Macaca mulatta: one gene and its partners. The protein of the gene in region 4 purifies or fractionates together with the protein of the main gene of each other region. This does not show direct contact. Links are inferred from orthologs where the notes say so. Each region holds a gene or a part of one and is shown on either strand. Other genes may lie near its edges.

What was found.
Region 1: the proteins of SEH1L (region 4) and NUP98 fractionate together in Homo sapiens (co-fractionation; 3 studies listed by BioGRID and IntAct, with this or other methods). This does not show direct contact. The link is inferred for Macaca mulatta from reciprocal best matches to the Homo sapiens genes SEH1L and NUP98.
Region 2: the proteins of SEH1L (region 4) and NUP133 purify together in Homo sapiens (affinity purification with mass spectrometry; 4 studies listed by BioGRID and IntAct, with this or other methods). This does not show direct contact. The link is inferred for Macaca mulatta from reciprocal best matches to the Homo sapiens genes SEH1L and NUP133.
Region 3: the proteins of SEH1L (region 4) and NUP85 purify together in Homo sapiens (affinity purification with western blotting; 4 studies listed by BioGRID and IntAct, with this or other methods). This does not show direct contact. The link is inferred for Macaca mulatta from reciprocal best matches to the Homo sapiens genes SEH1L and NUP85.
Region 5: the proteins of SEH1L (region 4) and NUP107 purify together in Homo sapiens (affinity purification with mass spectrometry; 5 studies listed by BioGRID and IntAct, with this or other methods). This does not show direct contact. The link is inferred for Macaca mulatta from reciprocal best matches to the Homo sapiens genes SEH1L and NUP107.

Annotation. Positions count from the first base shown.
Region 1 is NC_133419.1:72,131,692-72,135,207, reverse strand, and holds part of NUP98 (nuclear pore complex protein Nup98-Nup96), read right to left. Parts: intron 3,048-3,516; exon of another isoform or gene 1,893-3,047; intron 1,759-1,892; exon of another isoform or gene 1,613-1,758; intron 1,204-1,612; coding exon 1,092-1,203; intron 965-1,091; coding exon 747-964; 3' UTR 1-746. UniProt on the Homo sapiens protein: Plays a role in the nuclear pore complex (NPC) assembly and/or maintenance. NUP98 and NUP96 are involved in the bidirectional transport across the NPC. May anchor NUP153 and TPR to the NPC.
Region 2 is NC_133406.1:19,576,378-19,579,893, forward strand, and holds part of NUP133 (nuclear pore complex protein Nup133), read left to right. Parts: intron 1-13; coding exon 14-238; intron 239-3,516. UniProt on the Homo sapiens protein: Involved in poly(A)+ RNA transport. Involved in nephrogenesis.
Region 3 is NC_133421.1:84,898,471-84,901,986, reverse strand, and holds part of NUP85 (nuclear pore complex protein Nup85), read right to left. Parts: intron 2,467-3,516; coding exon 2,304-2,466; intron 33-2,303; coding exon 1-32. UniProt on the Homo sapiens protein: Essential component of the nuclear pore complex (NPC) that seems to be required for NPC assembly and maintenance. As part of the NPC Nup107-160 subcomplex plays a role in RNA export and in tethering NUP96/Nup98 and NUP153 to the nucleus.
Region 4 is NC_133423.1:83,627,707-83,631,222, forward strand, and holds part of SEH1L (nucleoporin SEH1), read left to right. Parts: intron 1-2,083; coding exon 2,084-2,295; intron 2,296-3,516. UniProt on the Homo sapiens protein: Component of the Nup107-160 subcomplex of the nuclear pore complex (NPC). The Nup107-160 subcomplex is required for the assembly of a functional NPC.
Region 5 is NC_133416.1:75,809,356-75,813,426, reverse strand, and holds the start of NUP107 (nuclear pore complex protein Nup107), read right to left. Parts: upstream 2,817-4,071; 5' UTR 2,736-2,816; coding exon 2,728-2,735; intron 811-2,727; coding exon 719-810; intron 239-718; coding exon 152-238; intron 1-151. UniProt on the Homo sapiens protein: Plays a role in the nuclear pore complex (NPC) assembly and/or maintenance. Required for the assembly of peripheral proteins into the NPC. May anchor NUP62 to the NPC. Involved in nephrogenesis.

The DNA of each region.
Region 1 (3,516 bases), on a different chromosome or scaffold from region 4:
CAAGATGACTGAAAACCAGGGACCAAACCAAATTCTGGGAGCTTCCCATAGACATGTCACATATGACCAAGGGCTCCTGCACATAGTAGTAGCAAAGGTATGGTGTTCATGGAACACTAAAGGCAGGAACAAAAGAAGCTCTGAAGATCAATCCCTCCATGGCAGGCATTCACTTCTGCCCTAAGTGTGTCAGAAAGATCCCATTCTGTTTCCTAACTCAGGCCAACCCTCCTCTGCCTCCAAAATTCAGTGTTAACTAACCAATTACTTAAGAGACGGATCCCTCTTCCTTCTGTGGATAGTTCACCTGTTAAGGATCCATTACTACCTGTCTCACTCCTCCTAAGGAGTCCTAGCATAAAAGGGCCAGGGTAGGAGTAGGGTAGCTGGTTGGCATGGAGGGTCACAAGATCCAGAATGGCTAGGGGTGAAAAAGGATTCCCTGGTTCTTTGGGGGATTCTGCCAAAGGAGCTTTATTGACCATTTATTAAAAGGAAAAACACTGGTCTTGAGGATGGTAAAAAGAGAATTGTCTCCTCTTCTGGGTTCCAGAAGCCCTTATGCTATGTTTAGTATTAAGAAAAGCCCTGAACAACTGGAGGATGCTGCTTGTGGCAGCAGGGAAGGAGGGCAGATGCCATAGCCAACCCAGAGAATGGCAAACAGTGCCAATCCAAACAAGGCAGGGAACCTCTGTGTGGTGAGTGTGAACGGGCATGTGAGTGTGATGCAAAGAGTCTGGGGCTCACAGGCTCCCAACAGCGAGTTCTCGCAGATAGGACTGGGTAAGGCTGCGCAGTTCGTCCATGGCATAGTCCTCAGGCATGGGGAGCCGGCCAATGTGGGGAGCCAAGAGGCGCAAAGGGACTCGCTGAGGGTCTGGTGTTGAGTCGGAGGTTCTATCAGGAGCATGATGCAGACTCAGCACCACCCGCAGCAGGTTGGCTACACGTTTGGCCATGTCTAGAGAGAAAAACTAGAGTTAAGCACTGAGCATGGGTCTAGAGAACGGTGGCAGGCACTGAGGGTGGGGTGTAAGATAAAAACAGGAAGCAAGAAGGCAGAAAAAGTGAGGAGATTAGAGGCTTACCTGACTGAGCTAGGCGATCTTTAGCATTGTAACACTGAATCTGCTCTATGCGACTGCACAGTGAAGTCACTTTGATGTGTAACTGCTCCAGGTCATAACCTGAGCAATCCACCTACAAAGAAGCAGAGAAGTCAATTAATCCAAGGGGAGTTCCTATCACTCAACACCACCTATAGACTCTATACAAAACCTTGAAACAACAGTGAGGTGAGGGAGGGGAAAATCCAAGAAGATGACACAGGGTCAAGCCACCACCATCTAGTGGAGGACAAGGCACTAATTATGCAGTAACAGACAAGAGGAAGGTAACATAGTGTACACAGCCTTGGACTAGGAAAGTCTTGAGATCCCGAAAGATACAGCAAGCTTTAATAATACAGCAAGCTTTAATAATACAGCACCAAAAATCAAGATAAACTGGGTTCAGAGAGATGGTATGACTTCTTAAGAGCACACAGGAAGTAAAAAATGCAGCCTGAACCAACATTTAATTTAGGTCCCCTGACTCCAAGTTTATAGCCTTTTCTATTTTTTTTTTTTTTGAGACGGAGTCTCGCTCTGTCACCCAGGCTGGAGTGCAGTGGCGGGATCTCAGCTCACTGCAAGCTCTGCCTCCCGGGTTCACGCCATTCTCCTGCCTCAGCCTCCCAAGTAGCTGGGACTACAGGCGCCTGCCACCTCGCCCGGCTAAGTTTTTGTATTTTTAGTAGAGACGGGGTTTCACTGTGTTAGCCAGGATGGTCTCGATCTCCTGACCTCGTGATCCGCCCGTCTCGGCCTCCCAAAGTGCTGGGATTACAGGCTTGAGCCACCGCGCCTGGCCTAGCCTTTTCTAAAACACCAAAAAAGCTGGGTGCAGGCAGCAGGAGGATCAAGAGCAAGACAAATTATTTGCTCTCATGAAACTGACAGAAACTAAATAAGAAAACATAAAACAGTAATACATCCTGAAAAATCACAAGCCATGTAGATAATTTAAACAGGTGGATGTTGCAGAGAGAAACTGGATAGCTACTTGAGACTGGAGGACCAAGAGAGGCTTCTTCAAGGAGGTCATATTTAAGTCGAGACCTGAATTACAAGGAGAGAGCTCAGCTTTCCAGGCAAAGAGAAGACAGCTAAAACTCCCAAAGGTGAGAATTCAAAGGAGATTTACATGGTGACATGTGGGGTAAGGGGGAAAAGCAGAACAAACCAATACTAGAGAGGTTTTATGTAACACAGGCTTTTTTTTTTTTAAAGGGGGGCTCTCGCTATGTTGCTCAGGCTGGTCTCAAGCAACCCTCCTGCCTCAGCCTCCCAAAGTGCTAGGATTACAGTCACGCACCACCACATCCAGCTATGTGCTGGCACATTGATAGTTCTCTTTGCTTAACCCCTATACTTATGAAGCTACAGTAACTGCTGCTTTACTTGTATATATCTCCCCCACGAAATCATTATTTTGGTAAGGGCAGAACACATACTGTTTACTTTTATATTCCCCAAACCCACTACAGTGCTTGGCACACAGTGAGTTCTCCATAATAGTTGTGTGAATTACTCAATATTCAATGAGAAAGTGGTTTCTTCAAATGATTATTTAGAAATGATGCTCTTGATTCACATGAAAAGTACAGCAAACATTGAATTATGCCTATTATGTGTCAGGCGCTGTACTAGGAGTTGGAACTTTGATGAGGATAATAATAGGTAAAAATTATTAAGCATTTAGTAGAGGCTAAGGTCAGGAGTTTGAGACCAGACTGGCCAACATGGTGAAACCCTGTCTCTACTAAAAAAAAAAAAAAAAAAGGCTGGGCATGGTGGCACACGCCTGTAGCCTGTAATCCCAGCTACTGGGGAGGCTGAGGCAGAATTGTTTGAAGCTGGGAGATGAACGATGCAGTGAGCTGAGATTGTGCCACTGCCCTCCAGCCTGGGTGACAGAGCAAAACTCTGCCTCAGCCGGGCGCGGTGGCTCAAGCCTGTAATCCCAGCACTTTGGGAGGCCGAGACGGGCGGATCACAAGGTCAGGAGATCGAGACCATCCTGGCTGACACGGTGAAAGCCCGTCTCTACTAAAAAAAAAATACAAAAAACTAGCCGGGCGAGGTGGCAGGCGCCTGTAGTCCCAGCTACTCGGGAGGCTGAGGCAGGAGAATGGCGTGAACCCGGGAGGCGGAGCTTGCAGTGAGCTGAGATCCGGCCACTGCATTCCAGCCTGGGCAGCAGAGCGAGACTCCGTCTCAAAAAAAAAAAAAAAAAAAAAAACTCTGCCTCAAAAAAAAAAAAAAAAAAAAGCATTTAGTACATGAAAGGTACTACGTTAAACACTTTATGTAGATTTGGTTTAATCTTTGTGAAAATCTGTCAGATATGAGCTGTAATTTGTACTACTGTCTACCCCACTCACCTTTCTCATTCAGATGGAGACAAAGGAGG
Region 2 (3,516 bases), on a different chromosome or scaffold from region 4:
GCCTTTTTGCAAGGTTGGCTTATTTGGACGTCTAGGCAGTTTTCCAGTTAGAGGGACACCGATGGCCACTCGATTGTTGCTCTGTGAGCATGCCGAAAAGCTGTCAGCCACCATTGTTCTCAAGAACCACCACTCCCGGCTTTCTGATCTCGTCAACACGGCCATATTGATTGCTTTGAACAAGAGGGAGTATGAAATCCCATCCAACCTGACTCCTGCAGATGTCTTTTTCAGGGAGGTATGATGAGTCCTCTTTCATGTGGCTTTGTAGAACTGTGCCATTTAGTGATCATGCCCTAGGCAGGAAAGAGGGTGAGGACAAGTTAAATCACAAAAGATCTCACTGAAATGTTAAATTGGACCCCAGATTTTCTGGCTAAAGTATCACTCAGAAGTATCATTTACCAGTTACCTATAAAGAAGAGCTTGCAAAGTTGACTGAGAAGTGCTCCCTGTTGACTTTTTTTCCCGTTAGTAACTATCTCCAAGTACCTATTTGCTTTGGGTGCTGATCTTCCCTTTTTTTTTTTTTTTTTTTTTTTTGAGATAGAGTCTCACTCGGTTGCCCAGGTACCTCCACCTCCCGGGTTCCAGCGATTCTCCTACCTCAGCCTCCTGAGTAGCTGGGATTACAGGTGCCAGCCACCACGCCTGGCTAATTTTCATATTTTTAGTAGAGGTGGGGTTTCGCCATGTTGGTCAAGGCTGATATTGAACTCTGACCTCAGGTGATCCACCCCTTCAGCCTCCCAAAGTAATGGGATTACAGGTGTGAGCCACTGCGTCCATCCTGATCTTCTCCTTACTTTGTCTCTCGATCTACTGTTTTTTTTTTTTGAGACTGAGTCTCGCTCTGTTGCCAGGCTGGAGTGCAATGGTGCAATGTCGGCTCACTGCAACCTGTGCCTCCCGGCTTCAAGCAATTCTCCTGCCTCAGCCTCTCAAGTAGCTGGGACTACAGGCCTGTGCCACCACACCCAGCTAATTTTTGTATTTTTAGTAGAGACCCTGTTTCACCCTGTTGACCAGGCAGATCTACCCTTGACTGTGCCACAGCCAAGTAGCCTTCCTGAGTGGGCTCCCTTGCCCTCCCACTTCTGCCAGGTCAGATGAATGGGAGGCCCTGCCAGAAGGCCGGAAGTTGTAGTAGTTATTCCCCCAGCTTTCTTCCTTGCCTGTGCCCACTTTACATTGGCTGTGCCCCTCTGTCAGGGACCATGCCTCCTGTCCAACTGCTTTCTCTTGTTTCCAGTAGCTGCCCCTCCTCTTGCCTCTTCAGGCCGGAGGTTGATAATGCCTCATCCTAGGGTGCTGCCCCATCCCCTTTTGGACCCCTTAATCTTGTCCACACCTTTGCAAACAGTCCCTTCACTGAACTCCTCAGCTACCTCCTAGGATCCTGTTGCTACACCTTACTTGTAAAATCAGATTTATTTTCAGAGAAAAAGTAAAGTCTGCTACAAACTTCAAAGACAGAAATGGTTAAGATGCTGGTCAGCCAGTGACAGCTGGACATTGTGGAAATAGTGGCACAGTCCTCACGGTTTTGTGAAGCTTCACAGCCTATTGAGGCAGCAGGGTAGACTTCGCTGTCTCCCTTTAAAGGTGTGACATTAGGGCTTAGACCTATTGTCTTAACTGAGACTGCAGAATGATCTAGTTTTAGAAACAGTGCCAACTCTTCCCTCAGCTCAGTGAAATTTGGAATTCCTTATGCATTTGAGGAGCTTCAAACTCTATTTGGTGTCTCAGATTTTGCTTCCTTCCTCCTATAGCCTAACTGTATTCTAGCATGTAACACATTATGCCAACAGGTCTCTTTTTCTTAATGTTTGATGTACTGTAACCTAAGTTCAGTCTTCTGTTGATTCCATAAATGCGTTTAGTGTGAATTCTTTGTTTTTATACGTTTGTGTTAGTAGGGAATGGAAGGAAAAGTGCTTTGTTATGTTTTGTTTTTAATCTAGACAGTATGCCAGAAATCTGAAAGAAAAACAAATCACCTCAAGTTTCATGATCTAACAAATCAAATTGTTGTCTTTTTTGTGTCCTTTTTGGTGTTTATTCATACATAGTTTTATATGATAAGGCAATGAATTTTTAAAAATTAATGACAGACTGCTTGTAAGAACTGAGCAAGAGCCTGGTTTATTATTCTGCATTTGTATCAAAGGGCAAAGTGTAATTGTCAATGCAGTGTATGTACATGTTTCAGTTAGCTGAATTATTAGAGAAGGGTCTGGAAATTATCAGTTGGATACATAATATAGAATAGTATTTTAGGACTATGATACAGCAAAACTAAAAGTGTGATTGGCTCCTCAAAAGAATGTTCCATATGAAAAATGGTAATGTTTAGGACTGTTCACGTCACTATTTATCTTCATTTCTCATGATGTTCATTGGTCTTCAGCTTCTCTGGGGTGTAGTTCTAAAGGTTTTCTCCCCTGTCATAATCATCATGAAAAGAGAATATAATAGCTATGTACATATAGTAGTTTTTCTTTTTACCTGTCCTTTCCCTTGGGGGTGACAAAGTACCTTTCTAAGGAGTATTTGTGTTTTGGGATGAGCTGGTTAACCAAAATCAATCTCTGATTGGTGGGCCATATAGAAAAATATTTTGACTTGGCAGCCCTGATAGAAAGTAAAACAATACAGAGCCTGCCTGAGGGTGCACTCTCCACTTTGCCTCTGTCTCCAGTTTGGGAAGGCCTTGTACCTCCCAGAGCTCTGGAAAAGCAGAGCTTACTGCTTAAGAAACAGACTATGTTGACACGGCATATGAGCAATATTTGAAATCACTGAATATATACATGATAAGATAATTTAACAAGTGTTTTGGCATTTTATGCACTTTTATTTTCTGTCTTTTATGCTTTCCTTTTTTTTTTTTTTTTTTTTTTTTGGAGACATAGTCTCGTTCTGTCACCAGGCTGGAGTGCAGCGGCACAATCTCTGCTCACTGCAACCTCCGCCTTGGTTCAAGCAATTCTCCTGCCTCAGCCTCTCAAGTAGCTGGGACTCCAGGTGTGTGCCACCACGCCCAGCTAATTTTTGCATTTTTAGTGGAGACAGGGTTTCACCGTGTTTGCCAGGATGGTCTTGATCTCTTGACCTCGTTATCTGCCCACCTCCAAAGTGCTGGGATTGCGGGCATGAGCCACCGCGCCTGTCCATTATATAGGCTTTCATTGTGTTTTTCATGTTAACAATGTAAAATATTCTTATGCTTAATCTTACAAATTAAATATGCTGAAGATTTCTTGCCTGGGCTGTTAGAATGCCTTTGGCTAACATCAGAAATGCAAAAGGAAGAACAAGGTTTGCAAAAGGGAGGGATTTTGTTTGGGTCATGTTTTATCTGTGACTGTGTGTCTTGTTCCTTCAGCCAGTTTGTGAGGTCCTTGAGGGCAGCTGATCTGATTTTTCTTTCCTATTATCTCCATTGCTATGCAAACTCTAATAACGGGGGCAAGCTCAAATGCAGACTTGAACTTGAAACAGGAGTTTCAG
Region 3 (3,516 bases), on a different chromosome or scaffold from region 4:
CTGATCGGTAGTTTTTACTCACTCGAACCAATCTATAAAAAATGAAATAACACACAAGATGAGCCTGGAACATCTTGTAGTGCTAGAAAAGAAGAAAACACTCAAATAAATGTAGAAATTTGCTGAAAGAAAGAGGGGAGCCATTGTGAAGGAGCTCGTAACCTTCTGAAGCTGGAACAACTTGGGCAACAAAATAAAACGCCACAAAACAACCCATGGGCTAAAGTTAATATCCATAAACCCATACTGACATTAATTGTTGCAGATGAAATCTACTAGTCAGACCTTGTCTCAAAAAAATAGATACATAAAGTTATTTAATGGCCGAGCCCAGTGGCTCAGGTCTGTAATCCCAGCACTTTGGGAGGTGAAAGTGGGCAGACCACCTGAGGTCAGGTGTTTGAGACCAGCCTGGCCAACCTGGTGAAACTTAGTCTCTACTAAAAATACAAAAATCCCAGCTACTCGGGAGGCTGAGGTAGGAGAATCTCTTGAACTCGGGAGGCGGAGATTGCAGTGAGCCAAGATCATGTCATTGCACTCCAACCTGGGCGACAGAGCGAGACTCCATCTCAAAAAAAAATAAAAAATAAAAAATAAGACAGGGTCCCCTGCCATCAAGGAATTACAGGACTTTTGACATGTTTTTTCCTAGAAGTGACAATAGATTTCTCAAACTCACCAATATTACCCACCAGAGTCCCTTAAAACCAATAATCAGGCCAGGTGCAGTGGCTCACGCCTATAATCCCAGCACTTTGGGAGGCCGAAGTGGGCAGATCACTTGAGGTCAGGAGTTCAAGACCGGCCTGGCCAACATGATGAAACCCTCTCTACTAAAAATGCAAAAATTAGCCAGGCGTGGTGGCACGCACCTGTAATCCCAGCTATTCGGGAGGCTGAGGCAGGAGAATGGCTTGAACCCAGGAGGCAGAGGCTGCAGTGGGCCGAGATTGCCACTGCACTCCAGCCCAGGTAACAGAGTCAAAAAAAACAGGGCACGGCCAGGCGCGGTGGCTCACGCCTATAATCCCAACACTTTGGGAGGCCAAGATGGGCAGATCACGAGGTCAGGAGATCAAGACCATCCTGGCTAACATGGTAAAACCCCGTCTCTACTAAAAATACAAAAAAATTAGCCAGGAGTAGTGACGGGCACCTGTAGTCCCAGCTGCTCGGGAGGCTGAGGCAGGAGAATGGCGTGAACCCGGGAGGCAGAGCTTGCAGTGAGCCGAGATCGCGCCACCGCACTCCAGCCTGGGTGACTGAGCAAGACTTCGTCTCAACAACAACAACAAAAAAGGCCGGGCGCGGTGGCTCAAGCCTGTAATCCCATCACTTTGGGAGGCCAAGACGGGTGGATCACGAGGTCAGGATATGGAGACCATCATGGCTAACACGGTGAAACCCCATCTCTACTGAAAATACAAAAAATTAGCCAGGCGTGGTGGCGGGGACCTATAGCCCCAGCTACTCAGGAGGCTGAGGCAGGAGAATGGCTTGAACCCAGGAGGCGGAGCTTGCAGTGAGCAGAGATCGCGCCACTGCACTCTAGCCTGGGCGACAATGTGAAACTCTGTCTTGAAAAACACAGAAAAAAAACCAATAATCACTCTCACACACACTCACACAGAAGTTGACCTGGGTCTTGTCCAGAATGATTCATTTGTGAAAAGCTTATCAAAGAAGTAATATACCAACACTGCCCATGCCCTAGCCATGTGAAGGGATGCTGACAAAAGTCTAACACAGGAGTTCTTAAACTCCAGTGTGCTGGAGATTTTAAGATCCAACCAGAGATTTTGATTTTGATGATCTGCGGTGGGTCCCAAAAGTCTACAATTTACAAGTACTACTCTGATAATGATGAAGTTATGAACTACAATTCACGAAAATCCTAATCTATAAATACTACAAGAGTTTTCTGGTCTGTTGTCAGATAATGTCTCAACCATAATTTTTAGAGACAAAACTGTTATATTAATTTTCAAATCTCCCAACAATGTGACCTCATTCAATGACTCTCACATGCTTGTGTGGCCTAAATTTTCTTCTTTAGAGGGTAAGTAAAATAGGACTATAAATAAAGCTTGTCAAGCCAGCCAATCAACAGCATTTGCATATTCCTGCTAAGTCTTCCCATCACTGCTAATGTACATTGTCCAGTACTAATGCCTCAACTAGAACCAGGAGTCTCTTATTTCTTTACGCAACCCTTAAAACACACAAAAAGACACCAATGTACTTCATTTGGCTTTCCACAGTGTACAGTGGGCTTCAACACCAAACAGCAACCAACTTACTGAGATTTTCTGGATTTTCCAGTCAACTCTTCATCAATTCTCTGGAGGCCCAAAAAGATTCCATGGGATTCATTGAAGAGTTTTCTCAAGATTTGAGAGTAAACATCTACATCCTTACGGATGATATAGATAAAGGGGCAACTTGGCACCATCTCTGATTTTTCTGAAACAAAACAGAAAAAAAAAAAAAAATTAACATCTATTACGATCATCCCCAAAAGTCAATCTACTCTAAAAAAAATGTTTTGTGGCCGGGCACGGTGGCACATGCCTATAATCCCAGCACTCTGGGAGGCCAAGGCAGGCGGATCACGAGGTCAGGAGCTCGAGACCAGGCTGGCCAACATAGCAAAACCCTGTCTCTACTAAAAATACAAAAATTAGCTGGGTGTGGTGGCGAGGGCCTTCATTCCCAGCTACTCAGGAGACTGAGGCAGGAGAATTGCTTTAACCGGGGAGGCAGAGGTGGCAGTGAGCCAAGATCGCACCACTGCATTCCAGCCTGGACAGAGTGAGACTCCATCTAGGAAGGATGGATGGATGGACGGACGGACGGACGGACGGACGGACGGACGGACGGACGGAAGGAAGGGAAAGAAAGAAAACAAATCAAATGTCAAGATTCCAGTTTTATCCTGCTACTGGAGGGAGACTGTATCAGGAAAAGAAAAAGATTCACATCCTATCCAATAGCTGATGGAACTTAGAAAATCAAGCCAAGGACAAGCTATGTCACTCTCCAGCTCCATCTGTGCTTTGGATGCTAGCTCAGCCTACAGAACTATTATTCAGCTGAATCCATGCTGTGGACACAAAAGTGATGGCCAAGCATCTGCAAGGTTCACAATAAGGAAGCTACTGAGGAATTTGGTCACTTTGGACAAAGAAAAACAGATAAAAAGCTTGACATTTTAAATATGAAGAAAATTTTTCATGAAAACTACTGTTAATTTTTTTCCAGGATTCAACATCTTCAAGATCTCAAAAATCAATGAAAATCTAAAATAGCTAACATTTCAAAAATAAAAATGCCAAAATGCAGCAGGATCACTCGAGGTCAGAAGTGTGAGACCAGCCTAGGCAACAAAACGAGACTCCCATCTCTACAAAAAAAAAAAAAAAAATTAGCTGGGTATGGGGGCACGGTGACCTGTAGTCTCAGCTACCAGGAAGACTGAGGTGGAGGATCACTTGAGCCCAGGAGGTAGAGGCT
Region 4 (3,516 bases):
AGAGAGAGAGTTTAACCACGGCCTGCCCGTCACCGCATGGTTGCTTGGTGTTCCTGGTGGGGTGGGGTCCTCTGCTGCCCCGCTCCTGTCTGACGACCCACTGTAACACGTGCGTTGATTTTCTCAGCATCTGTGTTTGTATTATTCAGTGGGGTCTGTAGACAAATGTTTGCTAAGGTGTTATCTTTGAAGTGTATGTAATATCATCCTTTTAATATTGAGACTCTTGTTTTTTGAGACGGAGTCTTGCTGTGTCGCCCCGGCTGGAGTGAGTGGCGCGATCTCAGCTCACTGCAAGCTCCACCCTCTGGGTTCCCGCCATTCTCCTGCCTCAGCCTCCCGAGGAGCTGGGACCACCGGAGCTCACCACCACGCCCGCCTAATTGTTTTGTATTTTTTAGTAGAGACGGGGTTTCACAGTGTTGGCCAGGATGGTCTCGATCTCCTCACCTCGTGATCCGCCCGCCTCGGCATCCCAGAGTGCTGGGATTACAGGCGTGAGCCACCGTGCCTGGCCAATATTGAGACTCTTTAAGAAGCATTTTGGTAACCATAGACAGTAATCTGTTGATTTCTAAACTTTATTGACTTTTTTTTTTTAAACAGAGTCTCGCTCTGTCACCCAGGCTGGTGAGTGGCATGATCTCGGCTCACTGCAGCCTCCGCCTACCACATTCAAGCTATTCTACTGCCTTAGCGTCCCTAGTAGCTGGGGTTGCAGGCTCCTGCCATCACGTCTGGCTAATTTGTATATTTTTAGTAGAGATGGGGTTTCACCATGCTGGCCAGGCAGGTCTTGAGCTCCTGACCTCAAGTGATCACCCACCTTAGCCTCCCAAAGTGCTGGGATTACAGGCGTGAGCCACCGCACCTGGGCTTATTGATGTTTTTAGTAAGGTTTCATCTTATCTGTGTGCCAGAAGGTAACTTTTAAATGTGATGTTGGAATTTTACAGTGATCACAGAGCTTGCTTTCTACCATTCTTTTGGTCTCTGTTAAATGCCTTCACTTAAAAGTGCATGGTAGCTGCGTGCAGTGGCTCACACCTGTAATCCTAGCAACTCGGGAGGCTGAGGTGGGAGGATCGCTTGAGGCCAGGAGTTGGAGACCCATCTGTGCAACATAGTGAGACCCCCATCTCTAAAAAAAATAAGAAAAACTAGCTGGGCGTGATGGCAGGTGCCTGTCATCCCAGCTACTGGGAAGGCTGAGGCAAAAGGATCACTTGAGCCATGATCATGATACTGTATTCCAGCCTGGGTGACAGAGCAAGACCCCGTCCCTAAGAAAAAAAAAAAAGAATAATAGTGGTCAAAATGGGATTAACAGAAAATTACTCTTGAGAGAAGAAATTGCATGCCTTCCTTAGTGTTTTTTTTTTTGTTGGTTTGTTTGTTTTTTGAGACAGGGTCTTGCTCTGTTACCCAGTCTGGAGCACAGTGGTGCGATCTTGGCTCATTGCACCATCTGCCCCACTGGCTCAAGCAGTCCACCCACGTCAGCCTCCCGAATAGTTGGGGCCACAGGCGTGCACCACCACACCTGGCTATTTTTTTTTTTTTTTAATTTTTAGTAGAGATGGTGTCTTGCCATGTTGTCCAGGCTGGTCTTGAACTCCTGAGCTCAAGCAATCTGCCTGCCTCGGTTTCCCAAAGTTTTGGGATTACAGGTGTGAGCCATCATGCTCAACTCATTTACTGTTAAAGGATCTAATACCTGCAGCATGCTTTATATGACAAAACTGCTTGTCTGAAAATTCTAACATTTTCTGTTTTTTTGTGACCAGTCTGCTTAAGAGAGATTACTTATATAATAAAGGTAGGCTTTTGGAGGTAGACATTTTTTTTTTTCATTAAAGGGAGTAATTAATTATAGCTAGCTAATTTGTTAGTGATTCCCAGCTATATATGTGGTATTTTGCCATGTACTTGTAGGAAATTGTGGCCCAGACACATACCCAAGCTCGTATACCTAGTGAATGACAGAGGAGTTTCTGTGTGATTCCAGCGTCTGTGTGTCTTTCCCACTCTACCATGCTTGCTTTTTGTATGGAATTTAAATTGTTAATTTTTTTTTTTTTAGGTTAAAAGGACAACTCTGGTGGATAGCAGAACATCTGTTACTGATGTGAAGTTTGCTCCCAAGCACATGGGTCTTATGTTAGCAACCTGTTCGGCAGATGGTATAGTAAGAATATATGAGGCACCAGATGTTATGAATCTCAGCCAGTGGTCTTTGCAGCATGAGATCTCATGTAAGCTAAGCTGTAGTTGTATTTCTTGGAACCCTTCAAGGTAAGTTTACATGTTAAACCTCTGATAACATCCTAGTAAAATAAACTAGTAATTTTTTTTTTTTTTTTTTTTTTTTGTGAGACAGCTTCTCCCTCTGTCCCCCAGGCTGGAGTGCAGTGGCGCAGTCTCGGCTCACTGCAAGCTCCGCCTCCTGAGTTCTTGCCATTCTCCTACCTCAGCCTCCCGAGCAGCTGGGACTACAGGTGCTCGCCACCATGCCCGGTTAATTTTTTGTATTTTTAGTAGAGAAGGGGTTTCACCCTGTTAGCCAGGATGGTCTTGATCTCCTGACCTTGTGATCTGCCCGCCTCAGCCTCCCAAAGTGCTGTGATTACAGGCGTGAGCCACTGTGCCTGGCCCATAAACTAGTAATTTTTAAGGTAATAATTTGATAATTCTCTCAAAAGTGCTTTTTCTCAAGATATATAGATTATATGTTCTCCATTTTTCACCCAGGCATGTCACTTGTCCCTGTTTTCACTCAGCAGAGGGAACCAGCATTGTAAATATGTTCATGTAAACCTTTTGGATGTTTTCTATGCATATACGAATAACTAATGAAGTCATAAACAGACATATGCAAACACGCCCAAATATTTACTAGCACAGGTAGACACAAAACACACAGATGTTGAAACCCATACATTTGATTGATTGATTGATTGGTTGATTAAGACAGTGTTGCTCAGTTGCCCAGGCTGGAGTGCAGTGGCGCTGTCTTGGCTCACTGCAGCCTCCACCTCCTGAGTTCAAGCAATTCTCCTGCCTTAGCCTCCCAAGTAGCTAGAATTACAGGCATGCGCCACCACATCTACCTAATTTTGCATTTTTAGTAGAGACCATGTTTCACCATGTTGGCCAGACTGGTCACCTCAGGTGATCTGCCTACTTCAGCCTCCAAGAGTGCTGGGATTACAGGCGTGAGCCACTGCACCCAGCCAGAAACCCTTACATTTTCCTTCCTTGCAATTAGCTTTTTTCACTTAAAGATACATTGTGGGCATTTTTCTATATATTAATATATCTAGTTCTACCTCATTTCTTTTTAACTGCCATGTAAAGCATGATTGCATGTATATTACCATAGTTGCTTTTTATTAAACTATTTTTAAACAATTACAAGAATCCCTTGGTAAAGAAAAGAATTGAAATAATCTATAAGAATACAGAAAGAAAGGTAAAGTTCTTTTACCCCCTAAAAGCAAATGCTGTTATTAGTTC
Region 5 (4,071 bases), on a different chromosome or scaffold from region 4:
GCAAGAGTTCAAACAAATAATAACTGCAATCATTATTATTAGTGTTTATTGATATTGTAACCAAATACTATACTTATCATGTTACAATAAATGTTAGTTGCTATTATAATTATCATTATTATTAAATGCTTTAAAAGCAAAAAAGTCTTACAAGGCTGTCGAAATGAGCTAGGAGTTCGAGGGATAACCTGGTTTCTTGGTGTAGTATTACCGAAACTTTCATCTTGAGATGCCTGAACTGTACAATGAGTTAAGAAAAGTTTTCCATGTAGAAAAGATTAAAATGAGAATTAACCATCTTTTTACTATACAAATTATGTGAATACATTTTTCAAGAACAAGGTATTTTACGGCTACCATTTTTCAATGCAAAGGGTAAATAACCCATTCCTTCTGCCATTTAAATTCTCAGACGTCAGTCTTAGATAACTACACACTGAACTAAATGTTTTTAGTCAGTTTTCAAATAATAAAAATCTCAGCAGAAGCTAACCACAATATGATAGTCAGCAGTAAGAAATATCTTTATTTTTAAGGAAATATAATCTTATTAAATTTTTGCATTATATTTACCTAATGACAGCTCTGTGGAGTGAAAAAAATTTCTACAGGATTTTATTATAGCTAACATTTAATACTCTTATAAAAAGAAAATTCTATAACACTGATTCCAAACATGTTACAATTTTTATAATGATGCTTAAATCGCAAAGGATACTTAAAACTCTTTTTTGAGCACTCTGTTTCCGTGCAGTCCGTGTCACCTCTGCCTCCCGGATTACAGGGGATGATATATCTCCAAAGCCACTCCTAAAGTAGTATAATCAAGCTTATATAAGTGAAACGAGAATATAGCATTTGTAAAGAATTTTATCATCACAGCTGGAGTAAAGGACCCTGAGTAAGTTAAGATATAGGTCATTCCAGTAGCCAAGTCTTGGATCTTTTGCTGAGAATGCACTCGTGGCTCCAAATCCTGCTTATTCTTCAAAGTCTTACTCAAATGTTACCTGCACAAAGATTTCTCTGACTTTCTAGTACTCACTATGTTATTTTCTCCTAAAGAATTATTTCAACACTTGGAATCTATATTATAACACTGTTTTAGGTAATTGCTTCATAAAAGTGAATCTTATTTCCCTGGTTGGATTGAGAAGTTACCTAATTGCAGGAATTCTCTCTTCAAAGATTTTCTGCAGAATCCAAAATGCTTTAAACCATGGGTACTATTAAAAAACAAACAACAACAACCAGACAACAACCACCACCAGACAACAACAACAACCAGAGCTTGTGAGATACAACCACAACAACAAACAGAGCTTGTGAGATAGAAGAGTAAGTAAAAAAATTCTGGTAAATTGTAGCAAAATGACCCTTCAAGTTATTTCAACCAAAGAGGTCTCCTGTCCCATCACAACACTCTGTCAGTTTCACTCAAAGGTCTAGAAACTAAATTGTGTGGACTAAAAGGCCTGTGTTTAAGACAAGAATCTAATATGCTTTTCCTCCACTTAAAACCTTCAGATATTCCTTCAGCAGGAAAGTATGGGAAACAACCCCATAGAAAAAATTTTAAATGTTTAATAATTAAAATTAAAAAACAAAACAAACAAAAAACCTACAGATAGCTCTCTCTGGTTTATAGAAGTGCAAATTTCCTAAAATGATATTTACAATGTGACCCCAGTTTAGGCGTTCAGTCTTCTATTCAGCCACAAACATCACTCTAAACATATACTGCATGTGACCACTGAGCTACATGTACTTTTGTTTTTCATATACTAGCACCTTTGAATATGTTTCTTTTACAAAGACCTACATTTGCCCCCTTGGGCACCTGGTCAACAACTAATTACTCCTCAAAGAGCCTCAGGTAGGCTGGAGACACACAGAGGCAGGTTGGCAATTTGGTTCTTGTATTTATTAGCTTCCTAACTTTCAGCAAATTCCTTAACCTCTTTTAGTCTCAGTATTATACATGAAAAAGGGATAACAGTACCTATCCTCATAGGATTGCTCTTGTTCTGAAGATTAAATAAACTGATAATATATATTCAAAGCCAACAATGGCAGTCATATAGTAGGTACTCAATGTTTGGAGTACGAATAATGTACTATTATTATGCAAAGACCAGCTAGAAAGTTACCGTCTTTGAGAGGTCTTTCTGATAGAGTGACAGGGAGACTTAATCGCCCCCAAACACTTATCACTTTATACCGCTTGGTTGTCTCCACTACACAACTAATTCCCCGAGGTGAAGGATCTTGAATAACTGATCTTTGTTGCAGGCGGCTAGCACAGTACCCAGATCACAGAGGGAACTCAGTATCTGATGCTAGCACTTGTAATCAGAAAGTCTGAGCTGAGATCCCAGTATCTTCACTGACTGGCTTTGTGATCACAGGCTGGTCACTTAGCATTTCGAACGCCGGGCTACCTACCCCGCCCACCCCAGGAGCGATCAGTGTTGCTGCCCCAAAGCGCCGAATAGATCGCAGAACGTAGTGGGAATGTAGGGGACCATTATGATCCGTACCCCACCCGACGCAGGCCAAGCGGCCTTTCCCCATTTGTAGCCAAATTTCCCGGCATGGGGAAGGAGTCTTAGGGGAAGCACCCGGGACCTCCTTGGCTTCTTCTGGGAGTCTAGTTTCACCTATTTCGTTTCGCCAACAGGCGAGAGGGGCAAGGCTTTGGGTTCAGCTGCCATCATCAGAACTGACCTGTCCATGGCTAAAGCCTTTTCCACACAGAATAAATGTCGACTCCAGTTTAGCTACCGCGTTTTACCCTTCCCGCTCTCCGGAAGCAAGCCCTTCGACCCGGAAGCAGTCTCTCCCTAAAATAGCCCCACAGAAAAGGGGTAGGGGAGAAGAAACGACGTTCCCATCTAGCGCATGGGCGACTTCAGCCTACAGGTGCCGGCCCGGTGGGCGCAGGCGCAAAAGCTTGCCAATGTGTGCCTGGCTGGACCAGACAGGGCCGGGGGCGGGACCTGGTTGCGTTTAGCCCAGACGCCTTGCGGCCGCTTTGCCTGACCAACGTCTGTGGGCGTGGAACAGGCCCTGGGTTCTCCTACTGGGAAAAATGAAGCATGTTGATAGTCTGGAAAGACGTGAAGTCATTTCCTGGTATTCTCTGTCAGAAAGCGCCTGTTCTTGGAATTCAGATGCGTGGGCTCTGCCCCACACCTCGGGAATCTCTTATCTCTCTCCCTACACTCAGTCCTTTGTTCTCTAGCCCCCTGCAGTTTTTGAAACTGTTTTCCATAACTGCTATTTGTTCTTTACTTGGTATTCTTTTCTATTAAGGAGAAACAGTTCACCTGTATTAAAAAGTAGAAAGGCAAGCGTAAAACATGATGGTATTGCCCTCTATTTCAAAGTGCCGTCTAGGCAAAAAGTGGTATATTTTGGTCTTGAGGGAGTCAGTCACATTTTTGTTTCGGTTTTTGTTTTTTCCAGTTTGAAAGTAGCGACTGGCTATTAACTGACCAGATTACAAAAATAACGTTAGATGCTTCAGTTTATCCGTTTAATAAGCCTGTTGATATGGTCTTTTCTGTTGCTGGCATTTGTACTTTTTAGTAATACAGAATAGGTAGTCATTCTCCCTCGTGGAGAAGATAATTTGAAGGATCACAGGAACTTGAAGAGTTTTTCAACAGCATAGATCTCATGAATCAGATTCTCCAGTCAGATGATGCCATATTTATCAAGAAATCTATCAATCAAAGAGTTATCTGTTAAGGTAATTTGTTTATTGGTTTTGCCATAACCAATTTGTAGATCAGTTCATTTATTGATTTCAGGTTCAGGTACTCTATGCGATGTATGGTTCCACAATAGTCAGCGTGTTAACTGAAGCCTTGAGTTTAGCAGAGGTGCCATGGAAGATCTGGGGAAAGTGAAGAGGTTTTGACAGACTTTTGGGATCACACCATTGATACCTTAAGGCAAGTGACAATTTGGATTTCACAGGTATATAGAAATTGCCAGCTTTTCTTGTCATATATTCCTTGTGACAGTGCTGAGCTTTTTTCTTCTTCTTCTTCTTGCTTGCTTTTT